Linked DNA regions of Caenorhabditis elegans. The protein of the gene in region 1 purifies or fractionates together with the protein of each later gene. This does not show direct contact. Each region holds a gene or a part of one and is shown on either strand. Other genes may lie near its edges.

Region 1 (5,919 bases):
CTTTCCTACCGCCAGCTCTTTGGTAATAAGATGAAGCTGAAACCTAGAAGAGATGAGCAGTTGCAACTCTCTGAATTTTCAACTTTTTTGGTCAATATTTTTTTCCCGTTCTACATCATCATGATGGCATCTCAAAAGGATCCTTTTCGCTTGTCCTCTGGAGAATATTTCCTCGTATCTTGCGCCTAGCCTAAACATGTTTTGATTGGCCTGCCGACAAGAACCATGAAAAACGGCCAGCCGGACACTTCTTGACACTAGTAGCTCTCTGGGGAGTTTTGTAGGTAGTGATTGTTTACGTTTCCCAAGCTCTTCGTCTCATCTCTTAGATGGTAGATTAGCATTACTCAACCACTAGATGCCCACGCGGAAAATTCGGTTATTCCGGAGAGTGTGGCGATTTCTATGCCAGAAATCAAGTTATGCTGGGTGTCAAGGCTGCAGTTGGGAATTTTCTAGTTTAGAAGTGTAAAAGGCGTTGTTCCTCATATTTATATGTTCCGTTACTTTCAAAATAATTCCATTGTTTCGTTTTCATTTCTTAATTGATTCGAAAAGCAGTGTAACCTTTTCTACTAACTCTACATTTGGATAAGTTTTTACACTGGTTAACTATAGAGGAAAACTGGGTGCATCAGAATTGGAGGCAAAACTTCATTTTAAAACTTTTCATCCACACATTTTTTTCAAAAAATTGCAATGAAATGGATTCACATTGATTTTTTTGTTTTCTTGTACCGCCGAAAGGTAATGAAGTAAATTGATGGCGAAATTCTACCAATTTCCTATTAAGCCTCCAATGCCTCTCCCAGGTTGCGTGGAGGTCATGATAATGACGGGAAATTGTCTCTCTCTCTCTCTCTCTTTCTCATTTTTTCTCTTCCATTTCACTTTCTTCTTCCCTCTCTCTTTCACCCCGCCCTCCATCCTCTGGTGCCCGCAATTCTAGAGTGTATTGGCGCACTCATTGTCAAGACAATTCGACAGCATAGTTATCTAGCTAGCTTCTTTTTTTGTCGTGTCTGCATGTCTGCCTATAGGCCTACTAAGCAAAGCAGACAGAAAGACGCCTTCATGCAAACGTCTCATTCCTCTCGTTTTCATGTTTTTCTTGCAAGAAAATATATGACTACTCTAAAGAATGCCAATTCACGTCTATTTTGGTTCTGTTGAGCCAAGGGATTCCAAGAACTAGGATTCGTTTTTTTTTTGGAATTTTAGTTTAAATAGAGTCCGTAAAAATGAAATATTACCAAAGAACACTTCAAACCAAAAAATCCGCCTACGCCCTCGGAATAATATGGCCTAAGGGGGCCTTCTCGCGTGTTCCAACCCCACTTGGCCATTGAAAGAGACGGCCTTTCTTCCCTTCTTTTTGCCACAGCCCTCCATTTTTCCCCGCTCTTCCTTTTCTCTTCTTACATTTTTTCTACGTCCTCGTTATATTTTTCTTCTTCTCATAACTTTTTTTTATTCATTTCCTACATATCTCTTTATAGTTAAATGCTATAGGGGCGCTGGTTAAATGAATGAAAAGCTCAATAACTTAATATTAAGACCAAAGATTTGCTTCACATAGTTATTTTTCAGAAACCGTCTACCTCAACTTGGTGAAACTCACTGATACGGGACATTACACTATGCTTGATTATAAGGGAATTTTGTAAGTTTCAATTTAACTGCTGCACAGAAAGTTTGAATATTAGAAAGTTCAAATGAGCTACGTTTATAGCTAAATTACCATTTGAAGGATACATGTGAAAATTGTAATTTTGTACAGATTTAACTTATGTGTTTCTATTCCACCTTCCCGCAGAAAAGTCAAGTCGAAAACCCATATGGCTCCAATTAGAAATGTAATCTCCGCTCGTAAAACTTAGTTCTTCATCTCATTTCGTTGCGTTTCACACACCCTAACATTGCAAACCAATGGATCCCAGAACAATGCTAGTGTGTGAGAAACAAAGAGAAACAAAGAGAAGTGAAGGCATTTGGCGTTTCAAGTGTATTAAATTTGTATACTTTTTGCTGGAAAAATGAGGCATTGAAAGACTGTGAGCACTTGGCGCATATTGGAATAGAAGGGGGTGAGAGACGGAAAGCTCACTGACAAATAAATAGTTCTCGATTTCAAAAATTTCAAATAAACAAAATATTGAATTACTTTTTTCCCTTCGCCTCGGTTCTTTGGTTGGTAGGCTTTGCCATTAGTTAAATTTCGCTTACGACAAAATATGAAATTTTGGAAAAATATTTTTAGAACTTAGATTTTAAATTATAATTTTTGAGGGAAGACGATTTTTCAATTTTTCTGTTTCCAGAACCAATATTACGGGTTTTGCGAAGACAAGCTTCTACGTGACGTTACGACGAGGGAGTCGCAATTCAACAAACACCTCAGTCACGTCTACATCTTCAGCTTCATCATCAAAGCAGACGGAACATGAGAGGCTGAGCAGAGATCGCGAGCTTGTTCGTCGGCATGGCCGGTTATCGTCTTCGGAGGAGGCCAGAAACACAGCTGTAATGGGCCGCGAGGCTCGTGAAGACGGGATCTACACTGAAGAGAACGGCGCTGGTTCGCCATTTGTGGTCGTCGTCTCCTGTTACAACCTTGGAGAGATGGTTGTCGAGAAGAGTGTTGAGCTTGAGAACAAGAAGATGGAAGAGGGTCAGATTCCAAAGAAGAAGAGAAGTCGAGAGCTCAACATCCCACAACGCAATATGTTTGCGCCAGATTTTGTTATTCGGCCGGATGAAGATCTTCCTGGATTCTCTCCAATCGACAGTGAGTACGATACAGACGATGATGCATTTGAGGCTGAAGAACTGAATCATCGAAAAGCACCACGACACACTCAATCCATGCCGCCACCGTTGTCGGGAATGAATCCAGATATTCCAAATGAATACGATCCTGTGATTGGAATCATCGCGATTCAGGGAGTACGAATTCCACGCAGCCGACCGATTGACATAGTGCCAAATCGCGAGCCACTGTTTCCTTTTTTTGGGGTAAACAGTGACCTGCAAGTTATGCTGATAACAGAGCGGTAAGTGCAGTTCTACCAGAAAAAAACTTCACACAATTCATCTTTCTTGCCAAGGCGACTGAAAAAGTTTCCCCATTCTTATTGTGGTCTAGAAACTTGTTAGGTTGGAGCATGAAATGCCCCTTATATAGCATCTTTCTGTCTCGCCCATCCCGTTGCTCCAATATTCTAACAACAAGTGATTATTGAGCAATGCGCATGTGCGGGATAGACTGATGGCTGCTTTTTGTCCGGAGCAACTTCAAACTTTTTTGTTTTTAAATTTCGAAATATATAATCACATACGCGTTCAGAATGTACGATGTCTTCAAGGAACGGATACATTCAAAAGGAAAAGAACGAATGCTTACAATGATGGAAAACTTGGCAATGACACTGACCTGTGGCCAAATGTGTGGAAGACTTGTGCCCGTCGAGATGATGGACCAAACCGTCTACTATTATGACTACGACACTGTTAGCTTTTTGTCAAGAGAGGAGCTCATCAATTTGTTGATGCTTTGTGAGCCGGACCAAATTGAAGACATTATGGTTGCTTCGTCGTTTCCAAGCAAATTCCATCGTGAGACACCGGAGCAGATGTTGCAACGTAACAAGCACTATCAGCATCTGATGCATCGTCCGCAGATCTTTCTTCGTCGCACTGATTATATGTCGTGTAGTATTGATGATGAAGATTTCACTTTTCCATACTTCGAATCTGTTGATAATGAGCACAACAAGCGATTGGTAAGTTTCAGATTCTCTTACTGAAATTTTTGTTAATTTTTTTCGGTCTTTATTTTGAGTATATATTGTCCGAAGCGAATTTTTTCCATTTTGCTCATTGCAATTTTTAATTCAACCGTTTTGAAACAATTTTGTCCGGTTTATATTTACATTGTATTTACAAAACTAATAAAATGTTGAAAACTTAAAAATATTTTTTTAAAAAAATTTTCAGACACTCGAACGTCAACTAAACGACGACAACGTCGACCACGAAGAAATGGGTGCCCTCATCAGAACCATCAGTCAAGATCTAGAAGAAGCTGAACGTCAGAATGGGCTTGAATTCGTGCACCGCAGCACTCTTGCTCTTTACGACGCCCGCGTTATCATTCCCCCAGTCAATTAATCACTTTCTTTTTTTTTGTTTGTACCAGGCTTCCCTTTTTCAATCATTTATACATTCATTTCTCCGGCTTCCTAGTTTTTAGTATGTAGTAGACGGTCTTCTCAGTTAGCGCAAGCGCTTTTTTCATCTAATCCCGTGCTCTTGTCCCCACGAACTTTAACTCTGGTAGTCGTTTCTCTCCCAATAACCTTTTTTCTTTTCCTTCATCATTTCATTTACATTACCAGAACAAAAAATCCAGAAAAAACCCTAGAAAAAAATTACTTTCCTTTTTTTAACGTTGAATAACCAGGTCATTTGAAATGGCAATTCTCCCAATCATACTAACTCCCTACGGAGATGTCATGTTTCAAACAATTCTCTTCGAATATCAATATTTGAAATCTTCATTTCATTTTCATGTTTTTCCAGTCTTTGGTTAAGGCTTTACTATGTCAAATTCCTTCTAGTGCACTTTAGTCATGTCACTTTTCCTCCAATTCACCCAATGAAAATCTCCTTGTCTTCAATCTCTATCACGAATCTAGTTAGACACTCAATATTTTCTCATCTCTTTTCAATTTTACAGTGAGTATTTAAGTCATTATCGTTTCCAGTATTATATGTTCCGTTGGACGAGTTGGCATGTCACCACAGTTTCCAAATCTCCCAACCAATTCCAAATATTTTAATCCCCATTTGGAAAGTAATAACAATTGACTTGTTTTTTTGTTGTTTTTTCATGGATCACTGGCCACCTCTTTTCCCAACCACAAGTTCCATAAACAACCACTATATTTTCTGTCAGCTGTGCTGCTCTTCTTACTACTCTCACCTCAGCATCTCCATCTCTATCAACATCCTAACCTTTTTTTATGTAGTCCTTGAATCTCTTGACGAAATCTGAAATGCGACATGATAGCAGTGGATAAAAACTCTTGCTCAAGGCCAACGTTGCCATTATGGGTAGGTTTTGGGAGAAAAAAACGTTTTTATCCTGTTATTTTGATTTTTCAGATGCCATTTTGACCATCCAAAAGTTCTTATTCACTGCCACGTCACAACCTTCCCGTCAAACTGATACCTCCCTCCCCCAATCAAAAAAATTGCTCTTTGTGCTCTCGTAGTTTTTGCTTTGTGTTTCTTCAACTTTGTGATTTCCTTAAGTAATCAACATTGGTATTTGTTTTTGTAACTGCTCGAATAAATGTAGTTAATTTTTATTTAAAAAAATTAATATTCCCATCAGTTTAAAAACTGTTGCCAAATGATAAAATCAATCAAAAACTACTTCAAAATACTGGGTATTGCAATATTAGTTAAACCGGTTTTGACAAGTACCTAAAATTGAATTAGTCAGTTTGTTGATAGCAGTAATTTCTGTCAGAAGTGACTCATAAAACATTTGTTAGGTTATTAGATTTCAACTGAAAGTAAAAGAAAAAGTTCATAATTTATTCATCTCCATGAAAATTGAAAGAACTTTCCCAAGTGATTTGCCAAATCATTGTTGTTTTTGGTAACGCTATCATGTTGTGGATTGAATTTCATATGCATTCTAAAAAAAGTTACATCTGCTGTGAAGGCTAATATTCTAACGAAAATCGATTTTTCATACTCGAAAACAAATGTAAATCACGATTGGTTGCGTTGAGCGCATATAATTCGGAAAACGTAGATAATCAGTAGTATGAATTTAAAAATTGCTTTTGCGTGGGTGTCTAAAAATATAGTCAAAACAATTTAACGATATTGGTTTGGTTTTTTACA
Region 2 (4,598 bases), on another chromosome or scaffold:
CAGTGTTGAGTTTTTGAAACTAAAGTACTCTTTAAAGGCACACACCCTTTCTCATTCAACAATACCTCAACATGATATATCATATGATATCAAAATTGCGTGTCTGACTACAAGAAACATTCGAAAATTGGAATAAAACGATAGTTTCTTTCGAAAAAAAAAATTGGAAATTGCTTACGAAAAAAGTGTCTTCACACAATTCCTGAACATAAGTCGAGAATCGTTTCGAACTGAAAGCCGGTTACGGTAGTCGTTGAGTAGTAGAGCCAACACATTTGAGGATAATGAAATGTCTTTTGGATCGGACTGGAATTTTAATTTGTGGTTTTTGAGGTTACCGTAGTACAGAACTACCTTATGGATGTGCATTAGTATATTTGCAGCAACTGGTCCAAAGCGTCCATCCGAAAGCCATCGGAGCCTCATGTGTTCGGCGAGAACTTCTGTAGAATGTTGACCAGCAAGCATACTGTAGGCTTGCACTGAAACTCGAATTTTTAAAATTGTGGGTCCCGCGACGATCCACATCACTTTTCACTAAATAACGGGATCAAGGCGTGAGCAGGCACATTTGCCTGATTCTACATACAAAGAACGATTTCGAATTTTCTTAAATAGCTCACCTGGAATTGGTCCTTGTTGTGTGAGAGTTGCAAGAGATGCAAATAGGCTCCGTAGTTTATCATCGTTCATTTCGTGATTATTGATTTAAAAAAAATGTCTGAAAATTTTCAATTTCTGAAATTTCCGATTAACTTAATAATTCTCAAATATTGCCGAGTTAGCCAATTTTTTTTAATTGACGATCAGGGTTCTAGAGCAAGCGAAATATTTCAGCTACAGTACCCGCGAGTACTGTAGAATTTCATTCTTCTTACAGAAAGTTGTTTCCTATTTGACAGTTTTCATATTTCCTGATATATAATAAGACTTCTCAGTAATTTAAGTTTTTCTAACAAGTTTTCAAAAAATTGTGGGAACTGGTTGAATACTTACAGATACTGTATACTAAAATTTTTAGCTCGTGTCAGGACCCAAAAAACTAATTTTTTCTACTAAAAATTGTACAAAATAACCGGGTCAAATCGAAAGACGAATGGCTCGAGCTGAATGACGCAAGAGATTTGAAAATGAGGTGAAAAGTGTCACCAGAGACAATTGGGTGCTTCATGCTCAACTTTCAAGATTTTTTATCTCTTTCGAAAATGCATGATGGCAAAGTTCAGAAGGCAGAGCAAGCAGCATCACACACTCAAAAAATGAAAAACAGAGGAAAAGTGACGGCTGTTTCGAATTACACAACACATGTGGCGAACAGAGAGCTCTGGAGAGCATAGAAGAGGCTCAAAACACATGAACATAGCAATATAATAGACAATTAAAATATTGGAATTTTCATGAATTATATACATATGTATTTTTCAGATGGGTCTCGGCGCGCAAAAGTTTATGGTAGACTTTTTAGAATTTTCACGTCTGCTTTTTTGTTCATTTGCCTTGCGTTTTTCAATGATATTAATTGTTTTTTAGCGAATCATGTCATATTCTTTTCATTTTTCTATCCTAGAGTTTGTAAATATGTTGTTTTATAAAAACACCAACGCTGTTTTCGGTTCATGCATACTTGCATAGGACAAAAATTGCTTGATTGTTTATAAACATAATTATTTTTATTAGCTTTCTCGTGTGGAAATGTGAAACTTCAAGAAAATTCTATTTTGCGGCTGGAAAGGGAGGAAAATTTTTGTGCGGCAAATTAAATTCAAATTTAGCGCGCAAAAAGGTGTTGGACTTTTCTCGGCCGTGCACTCCTCTCGGACAACGTTTCTCTGGTCTCTCTCGGTTTGTCTCTATTCTCTATTTTCCTTTTATTATTTTTTTTCAAGAAATTTACCACAAAAATATGAATAACTCAAATAGAAGTAAGTTTAAAAATAATAATTTTATTCAAAAATTAAAAAATGTTCTTTATAGTAATTCCGTTTGCTTTCAAAAGCTCTGAACACGGCTCATACGAAGATGAGATGATGGAAATGGAAGACGTAGTCGATGTAGAGGACTATATGGGCGGAGAAAAATATGATTCTTATAATGATGCAAAAGAAGATATTAAAGATTTTAAGACGACTCAAAGAATGAAAAAAATCCATCGAATGGGTAAAAAAATTATCAATAAAATATTAAAAGTTCAATTATTGTTTCAGAAAAAATTGAGCAAAACATTGCCTCAGAGAAAATCGATATAATCGAGCTTGGAACACGTGTGATGGTGTCGACATCGGATAAAACGCTCAATGAAGCTTCATTGGAGAGAACCATCCGTTGCGGAATATCTGAAGCCACATTTCTCGGAGATATTTCTATGGAATCGCTGGTAGAAGGTATGGTGAATCCATCGGCGGCTGATGGAAGGTTTGCAATGCTTGGAACGTCTATTATGGTCAGAATTCTGATAGCCCGGAATTCAAAATTCCATTTTTTGATTTTTCAGCTAAATGCGCTAAAGTCAAACATTAAAGACCTGAGAGGAACAATTGTAGGACAGACGACCAACACAAATTCAGAGTCAAAATTCGATAAAATCGATTTAAGTCTAATGAATCTCTCGCATTGCCAACAAACTTCTTACAATATTCGAGCAACAGGTGTATTCTCTGTGAGTTTTTTTTTGTTTCAGCTTCTATGAAAAAATGCCAAATTTTAGAATGCCGATCTTCAATATGTGTTCAGTTTGCTGACGTTCCGCAGAAACGCAAAACTTCTCAACAAAACCAAGCAGTTTATAAAAGCATATTTTTGTGTTGCGTGCCGTCCGAGATGCATGATCTGGAGATATACTTTAAGAAGAGCTGGAAATAGTCAAAGAAGAGCCATTCTTAACTTACCATCCGCCATTGTTTCAACTATTACTCGTAAGTTTTAAATAAAAAAAGAGAATCCATGGGCTTTTTCCAATATTTGGAAACAATTTTCGTTTTTTCAAAAAATAGTTTTAAATGTTGACCTTTTTTCCTTTTTAGATGGCAATTATATGTTTTTCCTTAATAATATTGATTGATAACAGTATAAGCCTAATTTGATTTAAACAAAACATTTTTTTGTTGTAAAATTGCTAAACTTTTTTTTTGATTTTCTCAGAAAAAAAATCCATAAAAAATTTCAATGATACCCTTGCCAATAATCAATTTTTATTGTTTTTTCCAGAGTTTCTGCTCGATTTGACAGGAATTAGCGATGCAAACATCCCATACGATCAGCTCGATCCAATGACACCACTATCAATTTCACTTGGAGAAGATGAATCAATGCGTGTTCAACGATATGAAGAAGCTTGTCGATTGAAGGATCCATTGACGAGATTCTTTCGAGATGCAATTACAGATTGCTTGTAAGTGCCTGAATCCTTGAAAATACATTGAATTAAATTTCAGAAATGAGCTCCGAGAGATGCCGTTTTGCCTGAACACGGGCATTCTGTTGAGCCCGTTGCGTGGTCGAGAACAAGGAACTTCTTGTGTTACATGGAAAGATTATGAAGGATTTTTGAAAAGAGAACACGATCTGCCTTCCGAAGCGAATATGAAGAAGCGAACGCAGTTTGAGTAAGTTTAAAAAATAATTTCGATTTTAAAATCCTTAAAATTTGCATTCAGTTATAAGTGTAATTTTTTTTTGGAAAAAGCGTAAAATTTGAAAATCAATTATATTTTCAGTTACCGACAGGATAACAGAATTTTTCTCTATTTTCGCTCCCTTTTTTTCGAAAAATACCAAAAATAAAATTTCATTGCTGCTCGCTGTTGCGGAGCGTTCTTTAGTTTTTCACTACAGTACTACTTTTGAAAAAATTGTACGTGACGAGGCCGGGTAACATATCTTTGAGACGAGATTTCAGAGTTCATATCTGAATAGTATTAAAATTAAATTTCCAGACAACGGCTCTGCGACATTATTCCACGTGTACGTCGACCGGTTCCCAATTGAAAAAATGTTTAACTTATCAATTTTCGATCTCTTGAATACGTTGTTTCCAATCAACTTTAATGAATAATATTCATGTTTTATTCGTGAAGAAAAGTACCATTTACACAAACACTGGATACCTATCCAAACACCGTTCTTTTTCTTTTCTTTCTGCCACTCTCCCAATCATTGTTTGCTCTCTCTCTCTCTCCGCTTCACTTGGTCATTATCGACGCTTTTTAACCATTTATTCAGAATGCATTTTGTTTCTACACTGGTTTGTCTCATATCACTGTCGGGTATTCAATCTGCATCGGTTTCTTCATTAGAGTGTGGAGGTTGATAGATTTTTCTAAAATATATTTTTAAATATTGAAAATTTCAGCCTGCTCCCTCCTCGTAACCCATTTCGAGCTGAAAATCGCCGCAGTCGACCCGAAAAAGAAAATCGAAGTTGGAAGTTTCCGAGTTTCACCAACTGGAGATCAAAAAGGGCTCAAGGAAATCGGCTATGCTCGTTCAGAATCTCATTTGACAGAAATCATTGAGCACGCTTGTGATGATGCGAAACACTATAAACTTGTGGTAAGAACCATAAATTGTATAGATTTTTACAAATTTCTCTTCAGGTGAAT

What was found.
Region 2: the proteins of W03G11.4 (region 1) and F01F1.11 fractionate together in Caenorhabditis elegans (co-fractionation; one large-scale study listed by BioGRID). This does not show direct contact.

The regions. Positions count from the first base shown.
Region 1 is NC_003284.9:12,075,944-12,081,862, reverse strand, and holds W03G11.4 (uncharacterized protein), read left to right. Parts: upstream 1-1,590; 5' UTR 1,591-1,640; coding exon 1,641-1,663; intron 1,664-1,843; exon of another isoform or gene 1,844-1,921; intron 1,922-2,321; coding exon 2,322-3,053; intron 3,054-3,178; exon of another isoform or gene 3,179-3,276; intron 3,277-3,346; coding exon 3,347-3,782; intron 3,783-3,996; coding exon 3,997-4,170; 3' UTR 4,171-5,382; downstream 5,383-5,919.
Region 2 is NC_003281.10:5,869,150-5,873,747, reverse strand, and holds F01F1.11 (PAP-associated domain-containing protein), read left to right. Parts: upstream 1-1,870; 5' UTR 1,871-1,903; coding exon 1,904-1,922; intron 1,923-1,974; coding exon 1,975-2,157; intron 2,158-2,204; coding exon 2,205-2,440; intron 2,441-2,491; coding exon 2,492-2,656; intron 2,657-2,704; coding exon 2,705-2,912; intron 2,913-3,204; coding exon 3,205-3,388; intron 3,389-3,431; coding exon 3,432-3,602; intron 3,603-3,932; coding exon 3,933-3,984; 3' UTR 3,985-4,063; downstream 4,064-4,598. Other genes in the region: F01F1.3 (MIF4G domain-containing protein), read right to left, coding at 179-306, 355-482, 624-693; F01F1.15 (DUF3456 domain-containing protein), read left to right, coding at 4,220-4,301, 4,349-4,548, 4,593-4,598.